Arabidopsis thaliana: one gene and its partner. The protein of the gene in region 2 interacts with the protein of the main gene of each other region in a pairwise test. Each region holds a gene or a part of one and is shown on either strand. Other genes may lie near its edges. The genes, in order: AT2G24250 and AT5G48360.

What was found.
Region 1: the proteins of AT5G48360 (region 2) and AT2G24250 interact in a protein complementation assay, tested with the Arabidopsis thaliana proteins (one large-scale study listed by BioGRID).

The regions. Positions count from the first base shown.
Region 1 is NC_003071.7:10,312,317-10,316,822, reverse strand, and holds AT2G24250 (LOW protein: F-box/kelch-repeat protein (DUF295)), read left to right. Parts: upstream 1-1,842; 5' UTR 1,843-1,964; intron 1,965-2,231; 5' UTR 2,232-2,262; coding exon 2,263-3,387; 3' UTR 3,388-3,757; downstream 3,758-4,506. Other genes in the region: AT2G24255 (LOW protein: F-box/kelch-repeat protein), read left to right, coding at 1-770.
Region 2 is NC_003076.8:19,593,461-19,599,147, reverse strand, and holds AT5G48360 (Actin-binding FH2 (formin homology 2) family protein), read right to left. Parts: upstream 3,613-5,687; 5' UTR 3,433-3,612; coding exon 2,105-3,432; intron 2,016-2,104; coding exon 1,849-2,015; intron 1,764-1,848; coding exon 1,525-1,763; intron 1,432-1,524; coding exon 817-1,431; 3' UTR 656-816; downstream 1-655. Other genes in the region: AT5G48370 (Thioesterase/thiol ester dehydrase-isomerase superfamily protein), read left to right, coding at 15-143, 300-482; AT5G48350 (Polynucleotidyl transferase, ribonuclease H-like superfamily protein), read right to left, coding at 4,983-5,582. UniProt on the Arabidopsis thaliana protein: Might be involved in the organization and polarity of the actin cytoskeleton.

The DNA of each region.
Region 1 (4,506 bases), on a different chromosome or scaffold from region 2:
GAGAAGGTCCATCTCCTGATATTGCTGATGATCAGCTTTCCGATGCTCTTCAATGTTTAGTGAACGTGAAGATCCCAGCATCTATTCCAAAAAAGATCATCCCTTTGGGCCATAAGTACAGAATGATCGGTTGGGAATATAATCGCGCGACTTTTCTTCGGCTAGACAAGGAGGGAAGAAGAGGAGAATTTGTTGTGCTTCTCGAAGTCTCTGACACTTTGCTGGTGTTAACAAGTGCTGAAATGAGGTGGAAGCAGCTTGAGAACGTCCCATATACTATATGCGTTGATATAGTCACTTTTAGAGGCAGATTTTATGCACTTTTTCTTTCAGGACAAATCGTCGTTATCGATCCTTATTCGCTGGAGGTGACTCTTCTGTTGTCCTCACCTCAGGACCCGCGAGAATTACGGTCTCTGGTTCCATATGGCAAAGATGAACTTTTCCTGGTTGAGGTAATCATCCCAAATGATGTTGTAATAGACTTTAGTCGGTTAGCTCGTAGAGTGAGGAGGGTAGATGAGAAGGCTGGTAAATGGGTTGAGGTCGGTGATTTGGGAGACTGTGTATTGTTACTTGGAAATCTCTCTTGCTCGGCTAAGGAATTTCCTCGGGGTTTTGGTTTGACTGAGAACGCAGTTTTGTTCGGCGATCAGTCAGGCAATGCATTTTTATACTATAAACAAAGTGCGGTAAAAGATCTCAAGGGAGAATCGTGTGATGATACTCAACCATTTTTTCCGGTTATGGCTCTCCATGAAGACTGCTAGGCAGTAAAATCCTGCTTTAGAGAAATAAAAACATAAATTCCTATCATATTTTTAGGTATGGATTTTGTGATATCTCATGTTACCCATTGTTGGATCACTGGTATTTAATGTTGAAGTTAAATCTCAGTTCTGAGTTCTTATAACTTTTTTTCGTCATCATGATCTTTTTGAACAATTTGACACTGTCCAAAACTGAAACGTTTAGCCACGATATAGAAACTCTTTTCTTGGTCACTGATCTTTTATTGTGTGCTGCCTTGTGCAGTTTAAAAATCTTGCTACTTGAATGGAACTGGCGCTTGATGACGACGATATGGACTAAATGTAGGAAAACTACATTGCTTTTGACCGTGTAGCTCCCGAAGACTTCCTCAATAAAGCAATGGCTGATTACTCTAGCTCGTTGATATTTCCCTGGAGTCTTTGATTTTTCTCGACGTTTAAGTTAGCTTTTCCATCTTTTTAACATATTATACCGATGTCATTTTGAATGAGAATATAGCTTTTAAGTGGAATAGAGAGGGTAGACATTTGTTTTTTCAAAGTGATGAAAAGAAGTGAACTAGATTCTTTAAAGATCAGAGCATATCCACTGTGGTAGCTCACATACTAATACTGTTACGCCAGAACTTTCCCAGAGAGTGTCAATGAGAAAAGAAAATTCCTTCCAAAAGCTAAAGCTAAGTTCTTGAAATCATCTTTAAAGGAAAATGAAACTTACTTCTATAGTTAGCCTAGGGAGTTTCATTGATGGGGTTACCAAGCTCTGTGTTATTTCATTAATGTTGCGTACTAGCGTTTATTAACCGTTCCAAAAACAAGAACTCACATCACTTTACGAGTTCCTAAGATTCAAACCGATCGAAGATACCTCTTGGCAAATCAGTATCAAAAATATTCTTGGGTACAGAGGAGAGAAACAAGAGTACAAAACAATCAACAGAACGAAGAAAAGAAACATAACAACAACATAATGCAAAAACGACGTCATCTCAAGTCTATCCGAAAACCAAAGTCTTAACCGGCTCATTTGATATAAACCGTCTCAATCCCTTCGGTTCTTTGCTTTCCCAATCAATCCAACCCCAAACCAAATTCGCTCTAAATCTTAACTAGTCTCTATCCCCATTTGTCGACGCTACGAAAGGGCTCTGAAGAATCTGCAGGAAGCTCCAACTTTTTCTCCAAGTTACGGTACTACTACGACCTATCTCTTTAATCCCTGCGAATATTCTATAATGAACTGTGAATTTTCTGTTACCAACTTTTAGTTTTTCCTGTGGCAAATTGATCAAACCCAGAATTGATTATGACCTTTGGAGCTTCAGTGAAATCAATTTTTTCCTGTTGGGTTTTATTTTCCAAGAATGAACTGAGAATTTTCTAAAAATGGAAGAGTTGGATCGTTTCAGCAATTTCATCAAACCCCTAAAAAAAAGTTGTAAATTTTCGAAATTGCAGCAGTAAATTTCTGTGTTCTTCAGCAGCAAGCATGGCAATGAAAAAGAAGATATCAACATCATCGATAATGCCAGACTGGTCTCAGCTCCCTGAAGAGCTACTTCACATTATCTCAACGCATCTAGAGGATCACTATTTCGATGCTGTTCATGCCCGCTCTGTTTGCCGCTCATGGCGATCCACATTTCCATTTCCTTCTTCTCTATTACGCCAAAGTTACTCTCTTCCCGCTTTCCCTTTAGAAAGCAAAGACTTGTGCTGCACCCTGGAGAAGGTCCCTTTGTTCCTCTTTAGAGTTCTAACTCCTCCTGATGCTGCTGATGCTTCCTCCGAATATTTTCTGGGAGGATTAGGCCAAGATAAGTCAAATGATCATGTGGAGCTTCCATCTCCTCTTCAGTGCTCAGTGAAAGTCAATGTTCCAGGAACTGAGCCAATTTTGATGAACATGCTTGACTGCCAGATCATCCCTCTGGGCCATAAGTACAGATTGATGATCGGTTGCAATCCTGAAGAATACAGTGCAGCTTTTCTTCCGCTAAACGAACAAGGAGGAGGAGGCGAATTCGTTGCGCTCCTCGACTGCACTGATTTGTTTTTGGTGTTAAGAAGTACTGAAATGAGATGGATTCGGCTTGAGAAACCCTCAACTGCTTCATGTAAGGAGTTATTCACTTTTAGAGGAAGGTTCTATGCAACTTTCTTTAATGGGGACACGTTCGTTATCGATCCTTCTTCGCTGGAAGCGACTCCCCTAACACCTCATATCGACTCCAACTTTCTGGTTCCATCTGGCAATGAGGAGCTTTTCCTGGTTAAGACAGACTTCCTAAGATGTAGAGTAAGTAGGCTAGATGAGGAGGCTGCTGAATGGGTTGAGGTCAGCGATTTGGGAGACCGTGTTTTGTTTCTTGGTGGACACCTGGGGAATTTCTACTGCTCCGCTAAGGAGCTTCCTCATGGTTGTGGTTTGACTGGGGACTCGATTTTGTTCACCGTTGGGTCACGCAATGTAACTTACCCCTATAAATATGGAGTACATACAAATAAAAGAAAGGCTGAAGACAATATCAATTGTTGGAGATCCTCAAGGGAGAATCGTGTGTTGTTCCGCAACAGATATGATCCGGTCCTGTCTTTCCGGGTTGAACGCTAGGCCGCAAATTCTCACTTCAGACTGTTATTCTGTTTTTATTAGATCAAAGGCTATGTTTTCCTTTGATTTTAAGTCTAGATTTTGTGTACTTGAAAACTCGAACTATACATGATCTCTAGCAAATGTGCAATGGTCTATTGTAGTTAGTCTAGAAAGATTTGTTGGTAACCAGCTATGTTCTTATCAAACTTGTTGCAGGCATAGCAGCAATGTCGTCCCCTTATGCCATACCCTCATACAACTACTATTCTTGCTTTTATTCTGTTAAGAGCTTTTTGATCGTTGTATATTGCTACTACATTTTGGTTTGAAGTAGTGGTGCATGTGTTGCATAGTCCGTAGGTAAAACTGGTCCGAAAGCGGTAAACAGGATCACTTCGTTGTTAGTTTGTATCCTTGGGATAGTGAAGATCTTGACAGTTGGTACGTTTGAGTTTTGTATCAAATTTAAGCCTTTTCTGTGATTCAGGGAAGCTTTCAAGAAAGAAGGTGATAATCAGGAAAACTACATTGCTTTTGACTACTCGAGCTGATTGTACTTGCCTTGAGGGAGTCTTTGATTTTCTCAACGGTTAGGTAAGCTTTTCCATCTTTTTTTTTAACATATCAGATTTCCAATATTCTTGAATGAGAATATAGCTTTTAAGAATGGAAATGGAACAGAGAGGGTAGAGACTGATTTTGCAAAGTGATGGTAAGAAGTGAACTAGATTCTTTAAAGGTCAGAGCTTATCCAATGTGGTAGCTCACATTGTTATGCCACAAACTTTCCCGGAAAGTGTAAATGAGAAAAGAAAATTCCTTCCAAAAACTAAAAGCTAAAATCTTGAATCTTTAAGGAAAAGCGAAATGAAGATATAAACTTTAACTGCCCCCAAAAGACAGTAGCAGTTGCAACCACTCACATGTACTAAGGTAACGAATCCTCAAAAAACCTTAAAGAAGCTGAGGTTGAGATTTTGGACCACCATGGAAACAGCTTAGTAAGTCTAACGAGAATAAAATAAAACACAGCTAATACTAAGAACTCTGTATCGAGTGAAGACCTGGCTATCGTTGATCGGTGTAAGAGACATAAAATCGTATAAAATCGATATCATTTCTTAGTAAGAAGCAACA
Region 2 (5,687 bases):
GACTTAAATGACAGGTGGACGTCGGGGATTTCTTACGTTTCAAATCCTGTGTTCTTTACACTCAACTGGATAAACAGGATTGTCCGCTCATCAATATCGAAGTTGTTGCTCATGTTACAAGTCCAGAGATTCGCTCCAGTGAGGTAAAATTCTAACTTGATGATGGAGCTTTCTTAAACGGTTGTTAAAATTGAACTTGCTCACTGATTCTATCTTCATGCCAAAATTTCTTGAACCTTATCAGATTTGAAGCTCATTATGTTAATTTTGAGGTCTCTTTTCTGTTACATATGATGTAGGTTTCAAATACATTCTACTTCAAGTTCACTGTAAGGCCAGAGGCAAAGGCCAGAAACAATGGGTTTAAACTTCGAAATGTAGTTCCTGCCACAGAGGAAGAAGCTCGTCATATCCTCGAGCGCATGGATGCAGAAGCTTTGAAGTCAAGCAAACAACAATGTGTAGGCACAATTCTTCAGTAATGGTTATGGTGTTTCTATGTTTAAAAGACCTGGCTTATCAGGTTTATCCTCTGACCACAAATTAACTAGAAATGTAGATGCATTTCTACTGTATCTAAACGATTCGCTAATATGACCAAAGATATGGCTTACTTGTGCAACTCATTGATTTGTGCTTGTCGTAAGGGTAACATGTTAAAGCATCAAAATTAGAATCATAGCATCAAAACCTAATGAATTGTCTTCCAAAAACTCATACAGAATTATCCAGAAATGGCGTTAGTCATACTGGTTACAATACAATGAAACTAGAGATGCGTTCCTAATCATTACATTAAAAATCTTACAATGGGAATCAGTCTCCCATTTCCTTACACACTTGGTCTAGAACAGACAGGAAGTCTCTCACAATCATGAAGATTCTCATTGTGTGACCTTCCTTGGAAGCATCTCCATGGAACTGCTCTGTGACCTCTTCCAATGCAGAGAGCGTTGAACTTTCTCGTATTTTAATCTTCACAATCTCCTCTGCAGCGGTTTTCAAGAACCGGGTCATCCTCTCCTTGAACTTCAGCCATTGATCTCCATATGAACCACTCTCCTCGCTAAGTAGCAAAAGCGCTTCAATGTTCTTGAGTCCTTGGCAAATCCTTGACACATTGCTTCTTAGTACACCATACTCAATGTCTGCCGATTTCTTGACATTGCTCAGTTCTGTATTCAGGTTTCTGATGCCTTCTAAAGCTCTCACACTGCCTTCTGATTTCATCATTTCCTGAACAACAAAATGCAAGAGACTGCTTCTTCCATCTAATCCCTTGACATCAACGAGCTTGAGGAGCGTGTCGAGTTTGAAGGCATCCGCATCCCCACAGCGGTTTGTTCTAACACTCATCATGTTTCCTGTCTTCAGTATAGCTTCAAGAAGTATCGAAAACATTCTACTATTTCTTAGTTCTTCACAAGCAACCTGCAAAAGCAGATAAGTTTAATGAGTAATGAGACATAACATAAGATTACATCATTAGACACAAATATGTAAATCCGCAATCATCAGCATTACCTGAACAACACTGAATGATTTTCTGAGACGTTTGATCTCCGAATGGAAATTAGCCACAAAAAGCAATGCATCAACACGTTTAAACACAAAAGGCACATGAAGCAATTCCTTAAGAAACCTCTCAGCTGGACCAATCTCTGAACCATCACTAAAGCTCTTCAACTTCCTCTCTTCTTCTTTACTAGGTGCTAATCTTGATAAACACTCAAGAAGTTCAGCTCCAAGTACATCACAGTCACCTAAATCAATAACTCAAAGAACACAAATCAATAACATTACAAAAACAAAACAAAACAAATGGCAATACATTAAAGATTATTTTACCATCAAGAAGAGCTTGACAAACATCCTTAGTGCTTAAGTTAAGTAGTTGAAGCAGAGTAGCAATATTCTGTGCCTTTCTTGGATCTAAAACTTGATTTTGAATCGGAAGATCTCTTGGATTTGACGAGTTTGCAATGAACATAGTCTCTACCATCTCTTTGCTCAATCTAGCACAGTCAGAAAAGATAGACTTCGTTAAACTCTTATCAACAAAAGTAGAAACAAAGAGAAAGAAGAAAACTTTCACTTCACTTACTTAGAAGAGCTCGATCTAAGACGTTCCCAATGCAGCTGTTTGGGAGGTTGGTCTGAAAAAGATTGCTTTTTTACATCATTTTGAACCACAAAAGGTTGAGACGGTGGAACAAGAGGAGGTGGTCTGGTCGGAGGAGGAAGAGCAGGAACTTTGCTCTGTTGAGAAGAAGATTCACCAATGTTGATAACAAAATCTCTTCTTGATGACGCAGTGTGAGAGAGCAAAACAGACTTCACATTCCGACTAAAGTCATTCCAAATCGGCGGCGAACTATCGAGAAACTTCCGGAATAACCCATCAGGAGAAGTGGAAACTGAAGAGTAGAGAGACGAAAGTGGTGTTCTTATGAATCCTCTGTCTGGTGAAGTAGAAGCAGAGGAGATACGAGGAAACCCAAATCCCATATTTTGATTCCAGAAGCTAAACATTCTTAGAGAAGACGACCCATTTCCGTTATAGTTCTTCCTTACTCTTAGTCTCTCCGGTGACGGAGACTGGAGGTTAGTGGCGTCTGAGTATCTAGGGTTTGGTGGAGACATGGTGATAGAGAATGACCTAGCTGGAGAAACCCAACCGGAGCAGGAGGAAGAGCATGAATGAGAAGGGCTTGAGTTCGCTGAGCCAGGGAGAGAAGCCATTGGTGAGAAGAACACATCTTCTTCTTCTTCTTCGTCTTCTTCGTTTACCTCTGTTTCATAGTTGTTATGGTGGAAGCTACGAGGAGGTAATGGTGGTAATGGTCGTATCTCCGGCGAGTCTTGCTTCAAGAAAAAAGTACCTCCGGTTCTAATATGGTCAGATTCCTCTGTATTGAGGTAAAAAACTTCTGAAGGAGAAGTAGTAGCAGCCATGTTGAAGTTAGTGGTGATATGACTCTGTTCATCACCATAGCTGCTTGTGTTGCTACTAGAACAATGAGAGTTCTTTAAATGACGAGTTTGCCCTCGGTGGCGGCCGTAGAGAAACAAGGCTAAGCCTATGACTGTAGCAATGACAAGAACGGCGGAGAGAGCTGGGAGGAGAAGTGTAGGTGAAGTGTGGTGTGGTTTAGAGGAGCGAGGGAGGACTAAGGCGGAGATATTAGCCGGAAAAGTTGGAAAGACGGCGAAAGTTGTCGGAGGAGTAGGCGGAAGAGGAGGAGGTGGAGAAGGAGGGGAGGATTCAAGAGGGAAGAAAGGAGGGCTAATGGGGGATAGAGGAAGAGGAAGAGGTGATTCATAGTCATAGAGGAGACGACGGCTGAGAGTTACGGTGGATGCGTAGGATAAAGGAGACGGTGGTGCGCATGTTAGCAGGAAGAAGAAGATGGCGAACCAAAAGTTCTGCATTTTTTTCTGCAAAGCAAAGCTCTCTCTCTCTTTCTTTGTCACTGTTCAACACACAATAAGAGAGTGAAAGAAGTTAATGGGGCACTATTATGGATGTACCTGTGTGACTGAGCTAGGGCCTATTGAGTAATAATAATACTCTGCAACCATTTTTACTTTTATCGAAGTAACTATTGATGTGTTTTTGTTTTTGCAATACAAATCCTTGTAATATTCCTTTTTGCAAAAGTTTACCGTTTATATTCCAAAAATGAATGACAATTAACTAACCACCAACGGAAAAAACAGTAATACACACCTTTTCTCAATGTCGTTTTAAGAATTTTATGTTGTGTTGTTTCTCTATAGAGAACGACACTTGTTACAATTTTTTTTTTTTTGAAGCATTCTATGTATTCTATAGGGTCAACAACGAGCTTCCTTACCATCTGAGTTATTAATTTCGTTTTCATGCAATCAAACAATGCTCCTTGCTTTTCGTTTTTGAATAAAAAGAAAACACATGTTTGGATGATCGATATAACCGAGGCTTGTATTTGTATTGCAGCTTTTTCTTTGGTTGGGTAGTTGTCAATTGTCATGTACTTTAAGGATTAGGAGGGTAAGTTTGCAAAAACTAAATACTTTGGAGGTTTTTTTGTAAAATAACATTTTACATATAGTTACAATATTAAATTTGCTACATATGCATTTGTATTCAAATAAGATTTAGTGAATCCAGGAACAGAGCGTATATGAAAATGCAATAATTACTTGGAACTCCGAAGTTTACCCGTCTTTCAAAAGAATCTTTTTGACTCTTTTTTTCTGACTCTCTTCTCTCCAATACATGGAACTTATTTCTTTTTCATGGAAAACATCAAAAAACTGTACAGTTCTACTTTGTCATTTTATTCTAAAATAGTTTCACTATCTAAAGGTAGACAATGCATAGAGGCCCACTTATTTTGGGTTCTAAGCCCAAACTCTTATACATTAGTTAAAATTTGGGTTTTATTAATCACAAATTGGAAACTAATCCCGCAAAAAAAAGTTACACTTTACATAGATAAGATTAAGAGATGATGACTGATTTGTCCCAAGAAAAAAAATGATGATCATTTCAGTTTCATAACTCTCTCTTCTCTCAGAAGCTATTTCATTGCTTCAAGTTGAACACTTAATTAATCATCCTTCAGCCCCCTAGCAGCAGCGGCTCAAGATTTCGTTATGTGGTCTAATAGGCCCTAATCAACTTTTAATTATCAGGCCCAGTTCAATAGCTCACGTGGTGTAGTAATAATATTATACCTTTACCTTGACCTCAGAGTTTAGGGTGGCTACAATCATTCAGACTCTAGCTAGTTGAACGCTTATTGTGGCAGTCTAATTAACCTCAAAACTTTCCCAATATTACACTTTGTGGTCTAACAGAGAGAACAAGAACAAAAAAATGAAGAACCAAATACCACATTTTGTGGTCTTTAAAACGGTTGAAATGCAAACTACAACAAGATACTGAAGAACATAAGAAAGAAAAACAAAGAAAGACAAACAGAAATCTAGATTCATTAACTTAAAATCTGAACATCCAACAAAATGTTCCCAATGCCAAAAGCAAAGTATGCATTGGAGGCTGCAAGCTTGATCTGGTTCTTATTGAGAACAAATTTCTCCCAGTCCTCAAGTACGGCATTTGATGGTCTCTCAGTCGAAACAATAGCACTGATCCTAAATTTCACATCGGTCGTCATATTGGTCAGATTCCATGTGGCGGGTCCAATCTCAACAACATTCTTGCAGGTCAAACCAAACTCACTCTCAAGCCTCATCATAGTCTTGTTTATGCCAATGCCCACAAATGTGAACTCGGGTAGATTGAGAAAATTGAAGAGGGGGAGTGGCAGATTATCATCTTCACCTTCACCTTCATCTTCATCTTCATCGGGAAGTTGTACTATTAGACAATTGTCACCATCGCAGAGCTGCAACAAGACGGTCTTATTTAGCTTTCTTCCCTTTTGCACCCGTTCGGTATCAAGACCAATGATCTTCTTCCTGTTGTTTTTGTTGGACAAGAATGTCTTCACAAGACGGTTGATATCTCGCTCTTTTTCAGTTACCGTTGTTTTGATGCTATCTATTCCGATTTTAACAATGGAAGAAGACATCTCTGAAATAAAGAGGGTAAGTGTTAGATAACATTCTGAACATACGTGTCTTTATATAGACATGAAAGGGAATTGCAAAAGTCACAACCTTTAGAGAGGACTACA